3 linked regions of the Pelodiscus sinensis genome follow. The protein of the gene in region 3 interacts with the protein of the main gene of each other region in a biochemical or structural test. Links are inferred from orthologs where the notes say so. Each region holds a gene or a part of one and is shown on either strand. Other genes may lie near its edges.

Region 1 (7,568 bases), on a different chromosome or scaffold from region 3:
TATCAGGATCTCAATTTTCTTTAAAGTAAAAAGTACATTTCCTGCTCCGCTCCAACTTGCCGCCCTCTCCCAGTCTGTGGATGCTGACCAAAGCTGGGACCCATGGGAACTCTAAGGGTTCAGAAACCAGATACCAAATATAAAATGTCCAACATTTTTCATTGTTTAAAATGCCAGTTTTGGGGTGCTGACTCATAATTTTTCAATGCTTTAAGCTGGCAACACTTATGTAGTTCCATCCTTAATACCCTACCCTGGTTTCTCATTCGCTGGGATCACTACCAAAGGTGTGAACAATGTGCATTCCAAGTCCAAGTTGTCACTGTCTAAGACCAATGAGGACTGGGAACCCCATGGAGACTAGTGTAGTACCACCACTCCCAATTTCTGATTCCCTCTCCTGGGGCCAACACAGACTGGGAGTGCTACCAAGTCAGAACTGGTCCCTTCCATGCAGAGATAGAGAAGACTCACATTTAGCACTCTCATTCCCTGGGGGCCAATGGGTTCTGAAAAGGCCTGGGCTAGCTTAGTGCCACTTAGAAGGTTGTTGGATGCAGAGGTTTTCAAGGGGCACTGGTTAGCACGTCACTGCCTCACATCTATGCAGAGTCCATAGGCCCTGCACTTTGTGGGGTCCCACGGCAGCCACCTCAACCATCCTATGGGTGGGACCCAAGGGATTACATTAGGGGAGGGGTCTGGCATGGGGAGCCCTCCTACTCCCACTCACTGCAGTGGCAGGAGCTAGAGCAACCAGGCAGCTTGCTCGGCTCCAACCTGTCACCCTTTCCCAGCCTGCTGAGCTCCATTTCACCATGGCCACAGTGAATTCAAGAGCTCAGTGGGCTGGGAGAAGGCCGTGGGGTTGAGTGGCTCACGCTGCCAGGCCACTGTGGCTCCCACCATAGTGGTGTATAGAGGTGGAGGAGGGCTGACTCCTGCTGCTGCCCTGCGCATCACTCGGGGAGGGGGCTTTGGGCAAGGAGGTGGGTCGGGGCAGGAAGGGGCAGAGCAGGAGCAAAGCTTGGGGGAAAGGGTGGAATGGGGACAGGGACAGTCCTATGGGTGAAAGGCTACTCTTGGCCCTATGCCTGGGGCACTGGGGAAGGGGTTGCCCAGGCCCCGTGCCCCCCGCTCCTCCAAGACGGCCTTGCCTATTTGAATGGATTTATCCTCACAACACCTTTATGAGGTAAGAATTATTATTCCCTCCATGTTACAGATGAGGAACCGAGGTACAGAGAACTGTTACAGTGTGTGTGGGAACAAAACCATTTTTTCAGTTCAGTGCTTTAACCAAAAGAGTATCTTGCATTGTCATGTCTTACTCAATATCCAGGCCTGGTCTCCAACTCCACCGGACCCGTCAGGGCCCTACACAGCATAGGCATACTTTGCTCACATAGTACATACACACATACTATATATAGTATAGCTCTCCTGTGTTCTATACCATGTTCCCTGCCTCCTGCCTTTTCTCATCTATTACTTAGTGTTGCACAGCCAGTCTCACCCTCCAGCATACATTACATGGTCTCACCCCATCCAATCCTATAGCGAGTTGGACTATGATCTGTTGTGTATTCTCTCCAGCCAAAGAGCTCAGAAATACCAGGCCGGGATCTACACAAACCATGGTGGCAGGGTTGAGGATTAGACACTGGCGGGGAATTCAAAATCCCACCCATACCCCTCCCTCTCACAACTGGCGACAAGGGTATCTGACATTTCCCCTCAGTGTTCTCTTTTTTTACTGGCTGGAAACCCATTGATGTATCACTCAGTGACCTCAACTGGGGCCACTTCTTTACTCTCCTTTAACGACCTTGACTGGGATGCTTGTTCAGAGCTCCCTCCCTCATGCCCTCACACTGTCCTCTTCTCCCAGGAAAAAGGGAAAGAAAGGGTTGGCTTTATAAGCTGATGGCTATATGAATATCCCTAAAATAGTAGTAACCCCTAGATATTCTTCAATGAGGATATCAATCAGTTATTTAATGACACTCAACCTTCCTCACTTTCTCTTCCCCAGCCACCATTGCCTGATTTTTTCCTTGATGCTTTTAAACACATGCAATTAATTAGTTCACTCATTAATACGCACAGCACACATAGACACACATCAATAATACTGTCCACAAAGGCTCTCTAGCCTGCTGGCTCAGTGTTGTGAGCGGGACTAAGCCTGCCATGTTCTCTTGGTTGAAATCCAAAGGCTATTCATTTCAAAAACCTAGAGGAATTGTCAAATTCTTATCATGAACACATTGTCCTCCTGGTCAACCTGAAGACAAATGGCTCCTCTTCGGCCAGCACAACAGATCTCATGCCAAATAAAACGACGACAAGGAAAGTAATACTTTTAAAAACTACAACCCTAAAAATATGAACAACCGAATGCCATGACTTGCAACAATCCTACATAAATGTCTTCACCTCCCCCTAATGTGCATTCTCAGTCCCATCCTTAAATAATAATCGCACATGCAAGTTTAGTGCTTGATTTTAGAGCTTTCATCTTCTCAACACAACAACAGAAAGTAGTAAAACCCAGAGTAATAATAATCAAACACCATGATGTTATCTAGAAAGCCACATTCTGCAAAGGGTTGCCTTATGGTTCAAAACATTTTCAACAAGAGGCCAAAGGTTTCACAAACCAGACAAATTGGGTAGCATTAACCCAGAGTTTATAAATGATGGATGAACACATGCAACGGCATTCAAATAGGTTAAAATATAAATGGTAGGAGGAAAAGATCTGCTGTTACCTTTTTGCTCTCCATGGTCCTTGGCAAATGCCTCGAAGACACTGCAACACCACTGCCCCCTTCTTAACGAAGTCGCTGAAGATCCCTTAGATGCTGTGTAATTGTTTCCCACAACAGAATATCTGAAAAGGTCGCTGTAATTTTTTTTGCTCTGTGCAATTTGCAATATCTCTCTGCTTAGAAGCTGCTTTAGAGCAATCTATTTATGGCTTCTGTGGGAGGTGCGAGTGAGCCAGTCAAGACCCCGCCCAAGTCCATAATAAGCACAAAAAAAATAAAAAACAGTCTTGTGACCCTGCACAGTTTTGTGACTTCACTGGAAATTTAGATAAGACAGTTTCCTTTCTCCTCTTAAAAGGCATATGTGTGTATGAGTCTGAGCACAGCCCTTCTTACGTTTCACAGATACAAACCCCCAAAACATTCCTCAGGAGGGCAGAAAATGTTCGGCTCCAATTTTGATGGCTTCTATTATTTAACTCCAAATAGCATTTTAGAAAGGAGGGGTGAGGATTTAGCATGCTATTGGTGCCATGAAAATCTATAGCAATAAAATTATGATGCTTTGTGTAAAAAGCTCCCTATACACTAATGTTGCACTGTGTTCAGAGATGGCAGCTAGCTAGAGAGAGAGAGAGAGAGGGTATGTCTACACTACAGCATTATTTCGAAATATCTTATTTTGAAATTATATGTCTAGACACTAAATGCATTTCAAAATAGTGCATCCACACTGATAGGATGCTGAATTGCATTTAAGGCCATCCGGAACCTGTTCTGGCAGGGCATCAGCTCAGGAGTTACCTTGCGTGGCTGCTGCCTGAGACTATCTGAGACCTGTGCTTGAAGGGACCCCCCTGGACAGCCAGTTCTCAGGTTTCCCTGCTTGCTTGCCTAGCTCCCTGAGGGACAGCAAAGCATTTTCTTTCTCTGTAAGCTCTGATTGCCCGCACTCAGTACACCACAGCACTCTGCAATATGGAGCCAGAGCCGCCCCTGGGCACTCTGGTGCTTCTCCTGGACATGTTGCTGTGAGCCTGGAAGCACATTCTGCAGGCAGTAACAGTCTCCCTGGTGTGCCCCACTGGGGGCTTGTGCCTCATTCCTCCCTCACATCCTTCCACTTACCCCTCCCTAACCCCCCTTCCTGCTGTACAATAAAAGACACGTGTTCATTACAACAAAGCCTCTTTATTGAACAAAACTGGGGTGAGGGGGAATGAAACTGAGGTGAAACTGGGGAAAGAAGGTGGGAGAGGGGAGGAGGAAGAGTGGGAGAGGGGAGGGGGAAACCTGGGAGGAGGGAGCTGGCAGGGGGAAGCAGGGGGAGGAGAAACTCAGGGCTCAGGGTTGGAGGTCTCGCCAGTCCAACTGTCTCCCAGCACCGCAGGTGCAGGGGCCTCGGCGTCCCTGGGGGGGTGGGAAGGGTGTGGAGGAAGAAGTGGGAGGAGGAGAAGGAGTGGGAGGAGGAGCTGGGGAGGCAGCAGAGGTTGGAGCAGCAGGAAGCAGCAAGCTCTGCACCAGGGTCTGCAGGTGCTCATAGATGGCATGGCCCTGGGCAAGCTGCTCCTGCCAGAGCTGCAGGTCTTCCTGCACCCAGTGGTCAAGGGTGCGGTGCAGGGCTCTCAGTGCCCCCAGGTGCTCCACTGTACGGGAGGATGTCCCAGGCGGGGTGGTGCGCCCTGCACTCACAGCTGGTGTGGTTGTGGAGAAACAAGAGAAGTGGTCAGTTCTCCCTGGAGACACAGGGTGAAGCCCAGCCCCTCTCTGCAAGGTGAGGACGACAGGTCTCCGCACCATCAGAGCCGATGTGCTTGCACAGAGGCCATGTTCGGGATGTCCTGCTATCCCCAGGAGTGTGAGCTGCCCCGGGACTACATCCATGCCCCTGTGCTGTATATAGTGTGGGTGTGTGTTGGGGAGGAGATGTCCCCTGTCTCTGTATAGAGGGGGCTTGTGAAGGGAGGGCGTCCTGCTGTGTCCCACCCTGGGGTCAGGAGCATGTCATGTGTCTTCACACACTCGTAAGTCAAAATAGCTTATTTCAGCATTAGGCACTGTCTACACAGCAGGAACCTGAAGGAAGAACAATCTTCCTTTGACTTCCCTTACTCCTTGTAAAATGAGGGTTACTGTAGTCGGAGTAAGAAGTCCTCTAGCTCGAGATTATTTTGAAATAAAGGCTGGCAGTGTAGACACGCTGTTTATTTGGAATAAACATCAGTTATTCCAAAATAACGCTGCTGTGTAGATGTACTCAGAGTAGGCCAGGCCAAAGAGTTTGCGGGGCCCAAGGCAGCATGTTGTGGTTGGCTGCACTGTGTGGCCGGGCAGCTCCCAGCCAGGGCAGTGAGCAAGCTGCCAGGTGGCCGGGCGGAGGGCCCTGAAGGTGTGGGGACCAAGGCAACTGTCTTGCTCACAGGGGCGGATATAGGGCAGGGCGAACGGGGCAGTCGCCCCAGGCCCCGTGCTTCAGAAAGCCCCGCGCATGCGCCGTAGCAAAGGGGGGGCCCCGCGGAATTATGATGCCCAGGGCCCCGCGAAACTGTCATCTGCCCCTGCTTGCTCACCTTGCCCTAAGGCTGGGCCTGACCGAGAGAGTTTGTGTGTAGGGACTTGTGCTTTCCCTGGAAAATATAGTAACTTCCATTGTTGAGGGAGAACAGGGAAACATGGCAAGGAAGAGAAAGGATAATGGACAGACAGAGGAGAGGAGAGGGAAAAGATCCTAGTACTTAGACAGCATGGTGATTAGAGACAGAGTGTGGAAGAGCAGACAAGCAGAAGAGAGAATAATAGGGAGATAAAAGGAGAAAGAATAAAGGAGGGGAAGAAAGAAAAGGGGAAAAATAAGAATAGTTGAATCAGAAGGAGGTGGAGAAGGAAAAGGAGGAACAGAGGAGGGGGTGGAAGTGGAGAGGAGAGAAGTGATAATAGAAAGAAGGACATGTAGAGAAAAAAATGGATGTGGAAGAATGAGAGCAAAAAGGATGCCAGCAGAACAAACCAGAGGGAGAGAGAGCTCTCCCTGTTTTCAGACAAAGTGAGTTAGCAGAATACCTAAACCCAAAGAGCATTACCACTGCACCGACACTGCACATTTCTATAATGACGGAAAGAAGCACCCAGCAACATGTAAACAAGCATGAGGTCTGCAGAGCCTTGCACAGGGCTTGCCAGGAAACCACAGTCAAAGTGAGGCCGCCCTCAGAGTGACGATACTGACCGCTTTCCGAATGCCACTCTCTGCTACGAGTGAAACGTGACATTGACCAGAAGGTCATCTGAGGTTCTTTTTCCCTCTCAATTCTCCAGGCCTCTTCTTCTTTGATTGCCCTAATTGGAAAAGGCTCCTTCTTAGCATCTAGGGCACAAGCCTAATTTTTCCTGATTGACGTTGTCAGGGCAACCAGGCCTAGTAGCAAAAAGAGAAGGGGAGGCCTGGAAGCAGCAACTGTGTGTTACAGGCTGATATCTCCCCTCTTTGTCTGTCCCTCTTCAAGCCCTCTCTCTCCCCGGCATGTCTCCCTCCCTCCCCATTTATTTGCATCCTGCAATCCATCTAATCTGTCTATCTATCACTTATAAAAAGTACTACGGCACTCCAGTATTGGTCCACCCCATTCCTTCTCCAACAGCAATACTGTAATGTTTGGGGGTGATTATTGGAGAATATGAATCTTAGAGGGGTAGCTGGGTGAGTCTGTAACTGAAAAAACTTAGAAAACAACAAATAGTTCTGCAGCACCTTAGAGACTAACAAAACATGTAGATGGTGTCATGAGCTTTCGTGAACACAACCCACTCCTTCAGATGACTGGAGTTAAGAGGTTAAGGGGACAAATAAATAGCAGAGAAAGAGAGGCAGTGGGGAGGGAAAGAGGTGGAAAAAAATAGGAAAATAATTGTCAGGGTGTCCATGCTAAATGAGGTTAATAGAGTGGGCAGCAAGTACCTAATGCTTAGCTTTTAATGTAATTAGGTTGTGGAATACATTAGTGTTATTTATGTAAAAGAAAAGGACCCTTCTCTCTGGTATATGTGTGAGAGGTTTTTTTCTCTATTTCTGCTACTTTTTATATCCTTTTCCATTTGTCTCTGCCTCTTTATTTCCCTCTTTCAATTTAAAGCAATAAGCGCAGTCCCTGTGAATGGAAGGCGCTGACCAACAAGGCCATAACCAGGGCAGACTGAGCAGGGCAGTGGCCCAGGGTGCAAAACCAGGGCAAACAGCAAATGATGACTCCATATGGGTAAGACCATGCTACCTGGCATTGCTGCTCACCCAACATCCCATTTTTACGTTAGAGAAATACGGTCACCCTAAAACAATTATGGGGGGGAAAAGGGAGGGGATACAAATGTACTTGCTTACCCCAGATTTTAAAATGCCTAGTTACGTCTCTGTTTCTCAGGCTAAATTCCTGTTGGTGTCGGGCTGTGAAAAGCATATAAGCTGCACAGAGGGGCTAATGGAAAGGGGGAGCGGCAGATAATGCATCTGAGGAAGAGTAAATTGGCAATGGAAAAGGTGGCATGAGCGAATATCACAGAAATGAGCATGACAGGTTATGATAGGCATGAGTGACAGGTAAATCATGGCAAGGATTGCACTCCACACTTCAGACCTCAGGATAGGGGTAGCGGGGGGGACAGCTAGAAACGACTGAAGGGCTTTGGCAAAGCTGTATGGGGAACCTATGTCTGGAATAGCAGGGGGGCTGCAGGGCAGAAGGGAGGGGCACTGACAGCTGTTTGGGGAGGGGGTTGTGTTTATACATCAGCTGTTTCTTC
Region 2 (7,594 bases), on a different chromosome or scaffold from region 3:
ATATCCAGCGCCCCTTGGTTCAGCCCTGGTCAGGGCCCGAGCGTGCTGGACTAGAGAGGTTCAGTTTGTAGTTCATTCGTTTTCTCATTCTTCCATCATAAGAAACAAACTTCACTTAGGAGACTGGTATCCAAACAGCCTGGACACAGGACTCCACCCCACCCCACCCCACCACAAACAAAAAACCCAACCCAGACGCCAGTTTCAGGCCAAATGCACAGCTCCAGCAAGGTTGACTCATTCAGCAGACAGGCAAGCTCCACACAACAGTGTTGTCTGGCCAGAGGGTTAGGCAGTAAATCCCAACCCTGCCAGCAGTAGGGCATGTCATGGACACTGGTATTTGATTTGAACTCCTGCGAGCGTTTGTAGGAAGTAATCTGGCACTATGAGGTTGTCTGATTTGAAAGGGGAGAAAAATGCGAACGTAAGCACTGTGGCACCGCCATCTTCCAACTCGTCACAAAAGTCAGCCCAGAAAGCACCGCACACTGCCAGGCATCAGGGTCAAATCAGTGTGGAACAAGGAACTCCTCCCTCTCCCACTCCTGTACACACATGCACCCTAGAGACCCACGCGCTGCTACTAACCAGCCCGGTGGGCTTGGCTGGCAAAGACGGGCCAGCTGGAACCCTGGCATGTTCTTGACAAAACATGTTTTGTCACTGTCATTGCTCGGTGGCGCCAACCCGGGGCCAAGGACTGAGAAGTGGGACCATCAGGAAAGACCTCGCCAGCGGCTACGTTAAGTGTTTGGGGCTGGCCTGTTTGAGCGGAACCTTGACTTGTGCAGCTGCCTGAGGCGAGAGAGTGGGGTGGCCGATTCTCAGCTCACATCTCAGCATAAAAGGGGAGCATCAGGGCCTGAGAAAAAGCAGCCGAGGAGTAAAGCAGCTGGGTCTAGCTCCCATTACTAGGAGCTCAGCCGCAGGGGACTGAGGAGCATTTACGCTGAATACCAAACACTTTATTTTCAATTTCCACAGCAGAAGCCTGCACCAGTGCTCGGTGGTGGCCCATGCACTAGCCTGTCCAGAGAAACACAAGGACAGGGTGACTCGGGGTGGCAATGTAAGCAGGAAGGGAAGGCGCGCGTGCGAGGGAGGAGTGCCTATGCGCAACAGAACACCTGGGAATTTTAGACACGTGCCCCTCCGAGCAATGGGTTCGAGACGTGCCAATGGGGAGGGGAAGCCGCGCAGAACTAATGTGGAGGTTCTGATGTGGGACTTTGGAGCGGTGACTGCATTTTCATCCACGTTTGGAAAGACCCTAGATCTAAACAGTGGGAGATTCAGAGAGAAGGGGAGAGTTCCCCCATTTCATTCTGCACTTCAGAGCATTTGCTGGGTTTAGTTAGGCTCCTAAAGGTTGCCAAGCCTGCAAACTAGATACTCCCCCATCCCTAAAAAAAGATAACCTAGGGTCATATATAGCATAAGGAGTGAGCAACACGCTGATCTGACAGATCAGTACAACGCATGCAGTCTAGCTGCTGGATGGTTTTCCAACAGCCCCTCAGGAAGTCGGATTAGCAGTGCGTGTGTGGCAAGAGTCTGACACACTTAAGAGAGAGCTGCAGACAAAAGACACTTTTGGGGGAAGTTAGTTCCGCTCTAAGGCTGAGGAAGTACAGGCAAGACAATCCTAATATCTGTGGTTTGTTGTTTTTATGTAGAACTTGAAGAACCTCCCCCAGGGGTTTGGTAGCACAAAGATTGCTCCAGGACTGACGCTAACCCAGGACTGGGCTGCACAGCCAGCTGTAAACCCACAAGGGGTCACCCCCAGAGGGGCACAGCAGGCTAAATCCCGCAGTGAGAGAGGCCAAATCAAGGCAGGGGATTACAGCTGGCAGCCCAGGGCAGCAGGCAAAACCCACAGGATTACCGGGAACCTGCCTCTTTGCTCCAATCAATCGCTCCAGTGAGAAGACCTGGAACCTGCTTGCAGACATGTTGATTGAATCAGGTGAGAAGTGGCTGCCCCCCCCTTCCCCAAAATGAACCGTCTCCGCGCCTGCGGGGCAGGGTGGGAGCAGAGAGGGGAGGTGCGGAATCCCCAATTGCATTCATCTGATCAAGTACGCGGCCGTGGTGGCTTTAATTAGCAGGCGAGCCTGGGGCAGGGCTCAGCTGCCAGACACCTCCGCGGGGTGAGGTGAAGAGGTGGGTGGAAAAGGAGACGGGGCACTTCCTCTGTTCGACGGGAAACTTTGGATGTGTGTGTAGACACAACACCCCTCCCCCACAGATACACACCCCCGACACACACACACCCCACGCGCGCACACACCGATACACAGATACACACAGACCCCCCCACATCCCATACACAGACACACTCACAGACCCCCCCACCCACAGATACACACTCAGACCCCCCCCACCCACAGATACACACACAGACCCCCCCATATCCCATACACAGACACACACTCAGACCCCCCCCACATCCCATACACAGATACACACACAGACCCCCCCACATCCCATACAGATACACACACAGACCCCCCCACCCACAGACACACACACTCAGACCCCCCCACCCACAGACACACACACTCAGACCCCCCCCCACATCCCATATGCACAGACTCACACACACTCCGGCACTTTCTGCTAAGCGCTGACCCCCCCCCCCACCGGGCTTTCCAGAGGAGGGGTAAAGATCCCGCCCGCCCCCCACCTCCTGGGGTCTCGCCCAGCCGCGTCTCTAGCTCAGCCCCAGCTCGGCAGGGGGGCGGGCAGGGGCTCCAGTGGCCTCCACCCCGCCGTGCAAGGGGCACCGGGGGGCTGCCCCCCCGCGCCCAGATCCCCCCCGCAGCGAGCCGGACCCCCCCGCACCTCCGGGTCCAGATGCACCAGCTCCATGTTGGGCCATGGGTCCGCCAGCTGGGCGAGCGGCATCGCGGCGGCGGGCGGCCCCGGGAGCGGGGCGGGCTGGCGAGACGGGCTGGGGGGCCAGCTCCGAGCCCCGGCACTCGCCGCGCCGCTCGCCGCCCTCCTTGGCCGCGCCCCCGGCGCCGCCCCCGCCGCCCCATTGGCTGCGGGGCCCCGCCCGGGCCGAGCCTGGGCTCGCCGCCCGCCCCCGGGGGCGCCCCGCAGCCTCCGCCGCAGGGGCCACAAACTCCCCCCGCCCTTCCCGGCTGCCCCCCCGCACCCCACCTCTGCCCCCTGCTCCGGGGGCCCCCAAAGGCTCCTTCCCAGGGGCTGCCCGGCCCAGAGAGACCTGCCCCCACCCCAGCGCCCCAGGGGGCTGTCAGGCCTCGGCACGGGGGGATGAAGAATCAGGCACCAGGGCCCATGCTGCAGCGCCAGGAGTGGCCAAAAAGGCCCCTTCCTGAGGAAAAGATGCAGCCTCAGTAGGTCCCCTCCATAGTCCTTGCCCCAGAGAAGGCCCGGCCTGAATGGGGGGCATCTGCTTTATAAGCCATGGGAATCGGCATCTGCGGAGTTGGGGGTTGTGGACCCCCATTGCGTATCTAGGACCTTGCCCATTTGCGGTTCTCTCCTTCCTATCCGTGGTTCTCCGCAGCCACGGGCCGGCGTGGGCATCTGAGGCTCATTTTGGGGGACACAGATGCAGATACAAATTGTGTTGCTATGCAGGGCTCCGGGCACAAACCTCTGGGTCAGAAGATGACAGAGTCTAATGGAGATGGCTAAATGTGGCTACATGTTTGAGACCAGAGATCAGACGTGGTCGTTCTGTTTTTCTGAAGTACTGGGGTGTCAAGGTCTTGTGTTTCCCACCTGATTTTCTGAAGGGAGTAAGAATGAAAGGTATTTTGCCTTCTCTTACGCCTGCAGCAGGTGGCCCACCACGATACAGCAACGGGCTCCAAATGTATGTCTGGTAGAGCTGTATCTTGATGTTTAGTGACAGTTTCTTGCTATCCCACAGGCACTTCGTCAGTCAACTGAAGGTGGTAGCAACCTTCCTTGTCATCTAGAGATCAATTATCTGATACCCACCAGAAAGGAGGTCACACCAGTGGTAGCAAGGCTGGGAAATGGAAAGAGGAAATGCTCAGGGTGGACAAAGGCTAAGTGGTTTATTCAAGGCCATTTGGCCAGTGAGTGTCAGAGACAGGATCTACAGGCAGGGATTTGTGGCTCTATCTACCTAAGTCAATCCACTAGACTAGGTTGCTCTACCTACCAAAGTACAGAAAAGAGACAGAACAGTCCCTTTTTTATTTCCCCTCCATTTGCTTGGTCAGAGGCTCCACAAGGGGAAAACTGGGGGCAGTAGTTTTGTATCTGAGTTTTTTCTAAAATATATTTATTTTTAACCAGGGCTGGGCTAAGCCATTTCTGAGGTGGAGGCTGGCTGAGAACAAGTGATAAGAGGGGATGAAGTCAGAGCTGATTAATCACTGGAACAACTTATCAAGGGATTCCCCATCACTGGAAGTCTTTAAATCAAAACCAGATGTTTTAAAAGCAAAAACATCCTTGTCCATGAGATAAGAACTCGATGCAGGAATTCCCGGTTAAAGTTCTATGGTCTGTGTTACACAAGAAGTATCGTTGGACTAGATTATCCTCACAGTGTCCGTGGGCCTTAAGATCTATGAATGTACAGACTTATATGTAGGAGGAAAAGGAGAATGCAAGGCCAAGGAATAAAGTTAGCAGAAGTGGAGGCAAACAAAGGTCAGAATCAAGGAAGGGGATAGAGGGTATGAACATGATTACCCAGCAAAATCACTTCTGTGGTCTGTCAGGCATTAAGCAGAAGGAAATAGAGGTGGAGCCTCAAGATTTCTTGGCCAAAATAGGCAGAGGGAGTACAGATCGAATCAACCTGTCAAAAGATACATACAATTGAAGACACGAAACAGGCCAGTATTTCAACATATGGTAGCACTATGGCTGTGTCTAGACTGGCCACTTTTTCCAGAAAAGCAACCGCTTTTCTGGAAAAACTTGCCAGCTGTCTACACTGGACTCTTGAATTTCCGCAAAAGCACTGACGATCTTATGTAAGATTGTCAGTGCTTTTGCGGAAATACTATGCTGCTCCCGTTCAGGCAAAAGTCTTTTTCCAAAAAACTTTTGCGCAAAAGGGCCACTGTAGACAACAGAGATTTGTTTTCTGCAAAAAAGCCCCGATCGCGAAAATGGCGATGGGGGCTTTTTTGCAGAAAAGCGCGTCTAGATTGGCCATGGACGCTTTTCCGCAAAAAGCGCTTTTGCGGAAAAGCGTCCTGCCAATCTAGACGCGCTTTTCCGAAAATGCTTTTAACGGAAGACTTTTCCATTAAAAGCATTTCCAGAAAATCATGCCAATGTAGACGTAGCCTATATGTTAAGACAAAGCTCAATGGTTGTGCATAGGCATTTACATGCATTGGGTGAGTAGTAATGATGGTCGGTGACAAGATCTTCCCTAATTAATATATACGAAAATATATATAATATATATAACTGAGCACTTATAGAAGGTACGGTATTCATGGGAGTCCCTGGATTCCTTACATTTTAAAGCCGCTCATGATTATGGATGGTTTTAAGCACTGTTTGTAACCTACTTTTATGTGTAGATATTTCTACTGGTAAAAGTGATTGACTGTAAGGAAGATTTTCAAAGGCACACAAAGTGCCTGCAAGCACCTGTGCCCAGCTGGAATGAACTCTCCAGCTGTTATGTGTCTCATGAAAAATCTTTCCCCTAAACTTTGAGTTGAGTTGTATGTGTGCTGCCTTCATTGTGTCTATAACACTGGAAAATACCCTAAGAAGAAGGGGGTTGTGAAGTTAAATTAGTGCAAGGCAGAATAGGCTAGTGATTAGAACAAGAGAGGGGCAGGCTGACAATCTGGGTTCAGTTTTCTTAGTCTGCCATTGTTCAACCTTGTGCAAGTCCCATTCTTCAGTTTCTCTATAAAGTAGAGACACTGACACATATCCAGTTTTGGGGGTTTCTAGGAGCTTTAGGAATGTAAGGTATTAATTAGAAATTGCTGTTCTTATCTGCTATCCCTCTGGAGTAGAAACATGTAACACTCTGCTCTTTTTGGTCCAACTTCTGCAAAACTACTTTTTGTATTTCATGATCAAACTGCTAGTTAAGTAAACAATATTTTTAAAGATAGGTACCGCTAAGCGTCAAACATAGTAATGGGGGAGCTAAAAGTATTCTCCTATTGCTTGTTAAGATGCAGCAACGTACAAAGCAGCAAAATACAGTTTCTGGTCCCAAAGCAGAAAATCGAAGGCCAGATCCTGCATTCTCCTTGGCCTGGGCAGACTTCAGGGGAGTAGCATTCGGTTAGCAGTGATCGCTTTTGAAAAGCCCACTCTCAATCTTCAGAGCCCTTTAAATAGACACTCACTGACTTCTAGATAAAAAAACAGGACTATGTAGCACTTTAAAGACTAACAAGATGGTTTATTAGGTGATGAGCTTTCGTCGGCCAGACCCACTTCCTCAGATCAAATAGTGGAAGAAAATTGTCACAACCATATATACCAAAGGACACAATTTTAAAAAATGAACCATGAAAAGGACAAATCAAATTTCAGAACAGAAGAGGGATGGGGGGGGGGAGATAAATGTCTGTGAGCTAATGATATTAGAGGTGATAATTGGGGAAGCGATCTTTGTAATGGGTAAGGTACAGGCAGTCCCCGACTTACGCGGATCCGACTTATGTCGGATCTGCACTTACAAACGGGGCTTTCTCGCCCCGGAGCTCACAGGCAGCGATCCGCCACCTCGACCTCCGGGGCGAGAAAAGCTGCTCACGGTGCCCCTGGTCTGCTGGAGACCGTCTCCAGCAGACCAGGGGCACCGTGAGCGAAGCCGCAGCAGCCAGAGCAAAGCCTCAGAAGCGCTGGAACCCGCCGCCGCTGCAGCTTCACTCACGGTGCCCCTGGTCTGCTGGAGACGGTCCCCAGCAGACCAGGGGCACCGGAGCGAAGCCGCAGTGGCGGCTGGTTCCCGTGCCTCTGAGGCTTTGCTAGAGCAAAGCCTCAGAGGCGCGGCACCCCGCTGCCGCTGCGGCTTTGCTCCCCGTGTCCCTGGTCTGCTGGGGGGGGGGGCGCAGCTAGTGTGCCCCCCCCAGCAGACCAGGCTTTTGTTGCCGGACCCTGGGGCAGAGCAGCTGGGGTGCTGCCGGTTGGTCCCGCAGCGCCGCTCTGGGCACTACTGGACCAACCCAGCAGCACCCAAGCTGCTCTGCCCCAGGCTTCCTGATTCAGCCGCTGCTGGTCAGTTTCAGCAGCGGCTGAATCAGGACGCCTGGGGCAGAGCAGCTGGGGTGCTGCTGGGTTGGTCCAGTAGCGCCGAGGAGCGGCGCTACTGGAGCAACCCAGCAGCACCCCAGCTGCTCTGCCCCAGGCGTCCGCAAGTCAGCTGCTGCTGAAACTGACCAGCGCTGACTACAGGAAGCCCGAGGCAGAGTTGCTCTGCCCCAGGCTTCCTGGAATCAGCGCCGATCAGTTTCAGCAGCAGCTGACTTGGGGACACTTGGGGTTCTTAAGTTGAATCTGTATGTAAGTCAGAACTGGCGGTCAGTTTCAGCAGCGGCTGAATCTGGACGCCAGTTCCGACTTACATACAGATTCAACTTAAGAACAA
Region 3 (8,005 bases):
GTCTTCTGTTCTGATACAACATGTCAAGGCTGTTTCCCGCTTTGCACTTTGAGTGCAAAAGCAGGTGGGGGCCCACAAGAGACTTTAAAATACCTTGCCACTAAAGGCTTGCTTTAAACTTCCCAACGCTACAGATTCCTCTGCTTTGAACTGGCATCAGTGCCACCACTCAAACGCAAACACCCTTTGAGGACCCAGGAAGGCACGCCTGAGAATTCCTTCCTGTCAGGTACCCTTAAGCTCTTTTACCCTCTTTCTGGAGAGAGCTTGAAACCGAGCCGCTGAGATCAGCTGAAAATGGAACTTAGTTTCTCTTAATAGTTAGGCTGTGCAGTCTTAGGCACGTCCACACGGAACCTCCTGCCTTCTAGGACACAGGAATCAGATCAAGTTCTTGAAAGGGTGATTTTTATTTAAAAAAACCCAACACTTTTGGTAAGACATTGCTCAGTAACACCTGGCAGCCCAGCCACTGAAAAAGGATTAAAAACACTGAAGTGCTTCCCTGGGATTCAGCTTGGAAAGTTACAGTGTAAGGGGCTAGTTAAATGTGCTCAGCACAGAGAAATCCAACAAACCTGAAAATCGCCTGACTGGGTCTGACTAAACATTCCCTGTTCTACTCACATATCTGTAGTTTCAAGACTGAATGCTTCCGTGGGCATAGGTGTCGCTGGATTCTCCAGGCCTGGCTCCTTCCAAGGCCTCTGCTGTGGTCACACAGGAACAAGAAGGGCTGCTGCGTCCAATTCAAAAGTTCATACTCTTTTCATTGGTTCTCCTGGTCAATGTTCCCTCTCTTTCCCACCCTTGTGTGGAATAATTTTTTTCAAGTCCACCAAGGCCTGTGTGAATGTGCACCACTAGTAGAAACACAAACCTACTGTGGGCACTGTGCCAATCAGCTGGGTGGCATTTGACTCTCTCCTGAGAGGCCGCACAAGCACACAGCTTACAGGAAACACTGCTGCTGGTCTCTTGCCAACGCACGGCTTCCCTAAGCATTCCCGAGGGCTCTGGGACTCACTGTCTATGGTTTAATCCTTCTAGGCAAGGGTTAGGGTTAGGTCTAAAGAGTTACCACTACTCAGTAAAGACTTTAGCTAACGGAATGGCTGGAATGTCCGGAAAATGCTGCCTCCCCATTCACCGCAATAGCATTTCTAGAGTCATCCATGCTAAGGCTGTACGGGGCCACTGGGGCTAGCTAGGCTACCCCTGCATAACCCAGGCCGATGGGTTTCAGTCCTTCCCGCATTGGTCCCAGGACCAAAGTCTGAGCTTGTCTGAGCCCTGCGTGGGGAGGGCCAAAGCCAGAGCCCCACTGCCACGGCAGGGGGCCCAAACCTGGAGCCCAAGGGCTTGAGGCCTGGGCGAGGGGCTTGTAACCTGGGCCCTGCTGCCCAAGGCTGAGGCTGAAGCCTGCGCCCCACCAGCCAGGGCTTTGGCCTCAGGCAGTGGGGCTCAGGTTTCAGCTTCTGTCCTGGGCCCCAGCAAGTCTGAACACCAGGCTTGGAAAGCCCATTGAAGCAGGGTCCTGACCCGCAGTGAGAGCTGCTGATCTAGACCTACATGCAACAGTGCACTCAGGTAAAGGCCTGTTTGGGGGCATCCCTGCCTGGCCCAGGGGGCGGGGCCAGGGGGTATTGCTATTTGGGCACCTACATAGCTGCCAGATTTTCAAAAGAACTCAGCACCCACGCGGCACCCTTAAAAAAACCCGACTCACTTCGGTGCCTGAACAGGGCCCTGAACGATTGGAGATGGCGGCCCAAGGTATGAGATTCCCTTACCAGGTGACCCCCTCTCTTCCCCAGTATTTATTCATCCCTGCACCCCGATGCTGACTGGGAGTGCTTTCATGCCGGGCAGCATGGGAAGGGAAATCAGTTGCCGTCTGTCCAGAGGTCGCACTGCTCGCTCTGTTAAAAGTGCGCTTTGCTCGCGGGGGCAAGTCAATTCCAGCCTGGTGTGGGCTGGATGTTCAGAGAACCGCTGGTGAGCGGCACTAGGGCAGTCAAAGCCACCACGGGAGGGCTGCTTGGCAGGACCGCCTGCTGCGATCGCTTTGGCACGCCCAGAATCGGCTCCCTCCACACCTTCAGCGCAGCCTTTGCAAAGGCGGTCGGCTTTAAATGCTCCCTGTTCTTATACAGCCTCGGTGGGATTCTTGCCCAGAGATGTCTCCAGTTCTTGCAGTTTTATGAAAGAAGCAAAAGCTGGATACAGTCAAACCTGGCCGTGGGCCCCCCCTTTCCAGGTGTATTCTGCTTTGCTTTCCGGTTACATGGATCTGCTGAAGGCGGAGAGCAGGGATCGTTTGTGGCTGTATGATCCTGCTGGCATTCTGCTTTGCTCTCAGGCCTAGTTCAGGAGTCCTGTGGAGTCTCCTGTACAGCCATGAATTGTTTGCCTCCAGGAGAGGGAAAGCTCTGCTGGGGAGGGGCTTTGTGGACAGCTGCTTCTCCACATCTGTTCTGTCCTCTTTCCAGGCTTCAGGGGCAGGCCCTCTGTGCAGACTCCTCGGGGCCTGGCCTGGGGAAATTGCCAGACGAATACCTGGGATGCACACAGCATTTTTTCTAATACAAGGCCGGTCCCTAGGGATTCCTGTCTCAAAGAACTGAAAACACGTGAGTGAATTGACCCGAACGTTCCTGTGAGGCAAGTGACTATTAGCCTAATTGTATAGCTGGAGAAACAACAGCACCAGGAGAAGGTCCGGGTCCTCCAAAGAGCTTAGGGCACTGTGTATTCATTTGCATGGAATATAGGGCCCAAAGGTGTTAGGCTGTGTCTACACTGGCAGCTTCTTGTGCAAGAACCCTTCCAGAAGAGAGCGTCTGCACTGGCATGTGCTTTTGCGCAAGAGCATCCATGGCCGTATGGACGCTCTCTTGTTCAAGAAAACTCCGATGGCCATTTTAACCATGGGGCTTTCTTGCGCAAGAAATTCATGTTGCCTGTCTACACTGGCCTCTTCTGGAAGAGCTCTTGCGCAAGAGGGCTTCTTCATGAGCGGGAGCATCAGAGTTCTGGTGCAAGAAGCCCTGATTTCATACAGTAGAACGTCAGTTTACTTGCGCAAGAACACGCGGCCAGTGTAGACAGGCAGCAAGTTTTTGCGCAAGAGCGTCCGCTTTTGCGTGAGATCGCGCCAGTGTAGACACAGCCTGAATGCATCAACCAGGCACTTGACCAACATTAAATGGTTTCAAATAAGGGTTGTGGGTTGGGGTACGCCAGCGGCCACCAGCCAGTAGACTGGGATCTATTGGTAGATCCCGGAGCCTCTGGCAGGTCATCCTGACCGGTTTGGCCGGGAGGCTCTCAAGCACTAGCTCTTCAGCTGCCCCTCTCCGCTCAGCCACTGCTTCTGCCCTCTGCCTTGGAGCTGTTCCCTGGGAGTGTCCTGCTGGCTGTGCAGGGTAGGAGAGGCAGAAGAGGGGGTGCTGTCAGGGTGTCCCCAACCCTGTACCCCAGCTCCACAGAGTGAGCAGGGTGGGGCCTTGGAGCCCGGGCGGGGTGAGACTACAAAGCAGCCCAGGTAGAGTATGTGAAATATAACAAAAGGATTTTATTTGATTTTTTTTAGCTGGGGAGAGTTTCTAGGAGGAAAATCCTCCTGGTCCAGTTTTAGATGTGTCAGAGCTGGCAACAAATGTCAACAAATGTTTGGGGGACGGAGAAGAACTGAGGTGAGATGGGTTGCTGCTGTAATAGTCCCATCGCATTTCCTAACATGAAAACACACACACAGGGGAAGGGAGAACACAGCTTCTGCCCCTGCTGGTAACTTTCACTCGCAGCCTCACTGCCCAGCATGGGATCCTCTTAGTCACTCCGAGGCCTGGCAAACTTGCCCCAGCATCAGACTGTTTAGATCATAGCTTTTAGCTGCCTTTTTTTGGTCACAGGCTTAAAGCAAAATATGTAGTCTTGGCCGGGAAAGCGGGACAATCCTTAGACAGAAGGAAAAAAGGGCAGGGTCAGGAAAGAGAAGAAATAAGAAGGGAAAGGACAATAGTAGGGGAAGAGACACAAAGCCCCTCACGCCAGGCCTTGTTGGGGTTCAGCTGGAAGTGATGAGGTCATCTGGGTCCTTCTCTGTCTGCTCAGGACACCCTTCCGCCTACCACAAAGACCTTCCAACTCTCAGGTGACCAAGTGGGGTGGCAGCCACAAGGGAGCAGCTCACTTTTTTCATTTCTCTCCTCTCCCAATGGGTCCAGGACTGTGAGAGCCTCCAGCTGTTGGTTCCTACAGTCTCCTTTAAAAAAAAAAAAAAAAGCCCCCAAAGGAGCACTGGGTGGCACAGCCCATCCTTTTAGCACTTTGTTCACCAAGAGGGTTAATGTCCGACACCAATTTCCGCACCTTGCGTACTGGTATTAGCTCTCAGGCCTGGGTTCAGTCTTGAGCTATATTAGTTGGCCTTTTGGCTTGTGCTCTGCCTTTTGCCTTCCTCCCTGTGACATTTATTGCAGCAGGTGACTGTGATAATTTAGCAACTTTCACTCACGTTTCACAGCGGAGCTTACACTGGGGTAAATGTGCAGGGCCCATTATTACAACAGCTTCTACCGCCACTGAAGGCCACGGGGGCTGACAGTTTCCTGAGTCTTTAAAGTGCTACCAGACTATGTGCTGGTTTTAAGTTTCCTTTAGCATTTCCAGGGTTGGCCAGGCAGCTAAAAGCGGACGGGGCCGCGGACCCAAGAACCCCAAGTCCCAGTGCCCTGCCCCCCTGCCCTGAGCCTTTGTCTGTGGACATCTGGACAAGCTCGCCCGGGTTCTGCCTGCGTCTAGCCCTAGCGGCCACCTGATGCTCGGCTCGGGAGGGAGCTGCCGGCCACGGGAGGGGGTGGGGGCTCGGGTCTTGGCTGCTGACACCGGCCCCCTGCCCGAGAAGCGGCGCGGCTCCGAGGGAGGGTCCGGGCGGTGCTGCCGCGGCGCGGGGAGGGGAGAGGCGTGTCCGGGGGCGGCTCCCTGGGCGGGGGCGTCTGGCGGGCGGCCCATGTGCCCGGCACCGCCGGGGGCGGCGCCCGGGGTGGCTGGGTGCCCGGTGCCCCCCTCGGGCCTGGGAGGCGGCGCAGCTGTCCCAGGAATGCGCTGAAGATGGCGGCCGGCAGGCGAGCCCCGAAGAGCGGGCTGCTGGAGCTGCGAGCCCCGGGCGAGCACTGGCTGCGGGTGCTGCTCACGCTGGCCGAGGACTTCCTGAGCCTGAGCCCCGCCAAGGGCGCGGGGGCCGAGGAGCCGCCGCCGCCCGGCCCGGCGCAGCTGAACGGCGGGGAGCCGTGCGCCCAGGTGCCCGAGGCGCTCGCCAACGTGCGGCGCACGGTGCGGATCGTCAAGCAGGACGTGGGGGGGCTCGGGATCAGCATCAAAGGTGAGGGGCGCGCGGCGCCGCGCTCAGCCTGGCTCCGGGCTCTGCCCGCGGCCCCGAGCCGCCCGGGGAGCTGGCTGGTGCCTGCCCAACTTCGGCGCCTTCCCAGGGCGGGGCGCGGCGGCAGGTTCTGCCCCGTGGCGCCGGGGCCCCGGCGGTAGCTCGGGCGCATCAGCCGGGCGGGCGGCGGCAGCTCCCGGCCCAAGTGCACAGCCCGGGCCCTGCTCCGCGGGGCTTCCCACGCGCGAGCAGCGCCCCGCAGCCGGGTGCCGGCGGTGGGCAGGTGCGCCAGGCGTGGCCGGCTGGAGACGCGGTTCCCTCGACTGGGCTGGCGCGGGGCGGGGCGGGTGTGAGCATTCCTGCAAGGTGAGTGTGAACCGGAAAGTGCCCTGAGTGGGCAGTACCTCGGGGGGAGGGGCGGGCCAAGAATTTGGTGAGTGGCCGGGGGCTGCGCTTTTCATCAAGGGCGCCCTTGGGCGCGGGAGGGGGCTGGGTTCAGGCCTGGGGCCGGGCTGCAGTGGGGGTTGTGACTTGGGGCAGGGTGTTGGGGTCCATGAGGGGGTACCAGGTGCAGGCTCTGGCTGGTAGGTGCTTACGTTGGTGGCTTTCAGCTGGTGGCCTGTGGGACTGTCAGGCAGGCTCCTTGCCTGCTATGCCCCCCCCCCCCCCACACACACCGTGGCTGGCTGCTGTGGCCAGTGTGTGTGTGTGTGTCTGCATGGTGGCCCCTTGGAGGGGGTGCAGGGTCTCCACGTGCTGCACGTCCCCACAAGCACTGCCCTTGCCATGCGGAGTCACTGGCTTCAAGAATGGGAGGTTTTGAGCTGGAGGTGGGGTAGGCAGCCAGGGAGCCTGCCCCAGGGTCCCGCTGGGTCGCAGCTGGCTGCAACCAAATGTTTGGGGCTGGATTTTGCCCACCCTGGAGAAAGCGAGTGCATGGAACGTGTCTAAGCAGGGTTGGGTTGGATTGAACAGAAAGGTTAAATTGGCGGGGGTGGGAGTGGGGGAGGGGGAAGAATTATTCTGTACTAAGCTATTCCCTGGAATGTAAAGGAGCTGAGCAATGTTCTCCCCCTACATCCCACGTAGTTCAGGTCAAGTCACATTCGCTGTCTTTTCATTGTTAATTTTGCTGTGGTTGTGTGTTTCCCCACTGGGATGCTTCTGTTGCTGAGGTCGAAGGATGTTTTCACATTCTTTTGTTGGCATTGCAGCCTGGAACAGAATTCTGTGTCAAAATGCCGTCACCCATCCAAATGTCCATACGTAAAACCCCATGATTCATTGCACTGAATGAGTCTTGCAGGTGCACCATTTCAGAATATGGGGGGCGGGGGGCAACCTGTATGTGCCAGGATGGGTGGGGCAGAGAGAGTGAGAGCAGGAGAGGCAGGCAGACTGAGGACAGCAGCTTCAGCAGTACAAGCTAAGCACCAAATGGGGGGGGAACCAATTACTTCTGCCCTCCCCCCAACCCCACGTAATCTCTATCTCAGGGCTGCTAGGGCACGAGGAAACTGCTTTTTCTGGCAGACAACTTAGCAGGTAGCAGGAGCACTGTATCCAATTCCTATATAAAAGAAAGAAAATAAATATTAGCCCCACTCAGCTCTACCACTAACGTATTCTGATAACTTGTGGAAAGTTGCTTAAGGGACACTGGTTGGCTGGAAATGTGAATGTCTGTTCTTACTTTACTAACTTTGGGGAGAAAGACCGACCCCGTCAGGACTCCTGGGCTCTCTCAGCTTGGGAAGGGGAGTGGGGTCTAGTGGGTTACAGCAGGAGGCAGATATTTAGGGGCTGAAATGTAAGAACATCAGACTGGCCAGACTGGGTCAGACCAAAGGTCCTTCTAGCCCTGTATCCTGTCTGCCGACAGTGGCCAGCACCAGGTGCTTCAGGAGGAATAAACAGATTAGGCTTCATCATGATCCATCCCCTGTTGCCCCTTCCCAGCTTCTGACAAACAGAGTCCAGGGACACCATCTCTGCCCATCCTGGCTAATAACCAGGGCTCGACAAACTGGCGAGAGCTCCTCACCAGGCCTGCACCGTGCATGCACGAAGCGCCGGTGAATGGGGCGCACGGAGCGACCGGCTGCAACCTACTCACCTGGGCAAGTAGAAACAGCGGCTTGTGGAGACCTGCTAATCACCATTGATGGACCCGCCCTCCTCGATCTTAGTGTGTTCTTATTGCAACCCTGTTACAGTTTGGACTTTCCCATCATCTGGCAAAGAGGTTCCACAAGGGCTTTGTAGACCTTTCAAAGTTTTGGCCCAAGCGAGGGGGCTTGGGGGCGTCATTTGAGCTCCCCGCCTCGGGTGCCAAAATGTTGTGGGCCGGCCCTGCCCACCCTTTAGTCATTTCTTTTCCAAGCTGAAGAGCCCCCGTCTTGTTGATTTCTCCTCCGATGGAAGCTGTTCCTTACCCCTGATCATTTCTGTTGCCCTTTCTCTACCTTTTCCATGTCCAATAGATCTTTTTGTAGCTGGGGTGACCAGATCTGCATGCAGTGTTCAAGATGTGGGCATACCGGGCTTTATATAGACACAATATGGGATTTTGTCCTCTTATCTATTCCTTTCCTAATGCGTCCCGACGTTCAGTTAGCT

What was found.
Region 1: the proteins of SNTA1 (region 3) and solute carrier family 2, facilitated glucose transporter member 3 interact in a test that uses a peptide from one of them, tested with the Homo sapiens proteins (2 studies listed by BioGRID and IntAct). The link is inferred for Pelodiscus sinensis from reciprocal best matches to the Homo sapiens genes SNTA1 and SLC2A3.
Region 2: the proteins of SNTA1 (region 3) and RPS6KA1 interact in a test that uses a peptide from one of them, tested with the Homo sapiens proteins (2 studies listed by BioGRID and IntAct, with this or other methods). The link is inferred for Pelodiscus sinensis from reciprocal best matches to the Homo sapiens genes SNTA1 and RPS6KA1.

What each region holds. Positions count from the first base shown.
Region 1 is NC_134711.1:132,856,081-132,863,648, reverse strand, and holds the start of solute carrier family 2, facilitated glucose transporter member 3, read right to left. Parts: upstream 3,009-7,568; 5' UTR 2,790-3,008; coding exon 2,775-2,789; intron 1-2,774. UniProt on the Homo sapiens protein: Facilitative glucose transporter. Can also mediate the uptake of various other monosaccharides across the cell membrane. Mediates the uptake of glucose, 2-deoxyglucose, galactose, mannose, xylose and fucose, and probably also dehydroascorbate.
Region 2 is NC_134735.1:2,049,239-2,056,832, reverse strand, and holds the start of RPS6KA1 (ribosomal protein S6 kinase alpha-1), read right to left. Parts: upstream 3,009-7,594; 5' UTR 2,914-3,008; coding exon 2,851-2,913; intron 1-2,850. UniProt on the Homo sapiens protein: Serine/threonine-protein kinase that acts downstream of ERK (MAPK1/ERK2 and MAPK3/ERK1) signaling and mediates mitogenic and stress-induced activation of the transcription factors CREB1, ETV1/ER81 and NR4A1/NUR77, regulates translation through RPS6 and EIF4B phosphorylation, and mediates cellular proliferation, survival, and differentiation by modulating mTOR signaling and repressing pro-apoptotic function of BAD and DAPK1.
Region 3 is NC_134728.1:33,977,892-33,985,896, reverse strand, and holds the start of SNTA1 (alpha-1-syntrophin), read left to right. Parts: upstream 1-4,990; 5' UTR 4,991-5,118; coding exon 5,119-5,389; intron 5,390-5,614; exon of another isoform or gene 5,615-5,752; intron 5,753-8,005. UniProt on the Homo sapiens protein: Adapter protein that binds to and probably organizes the subcellular localization of a variety of membrane proteins. May link various receptors to the actin cytoskeleton and the extracellular matrix via the dystrophin glycoprotein complex.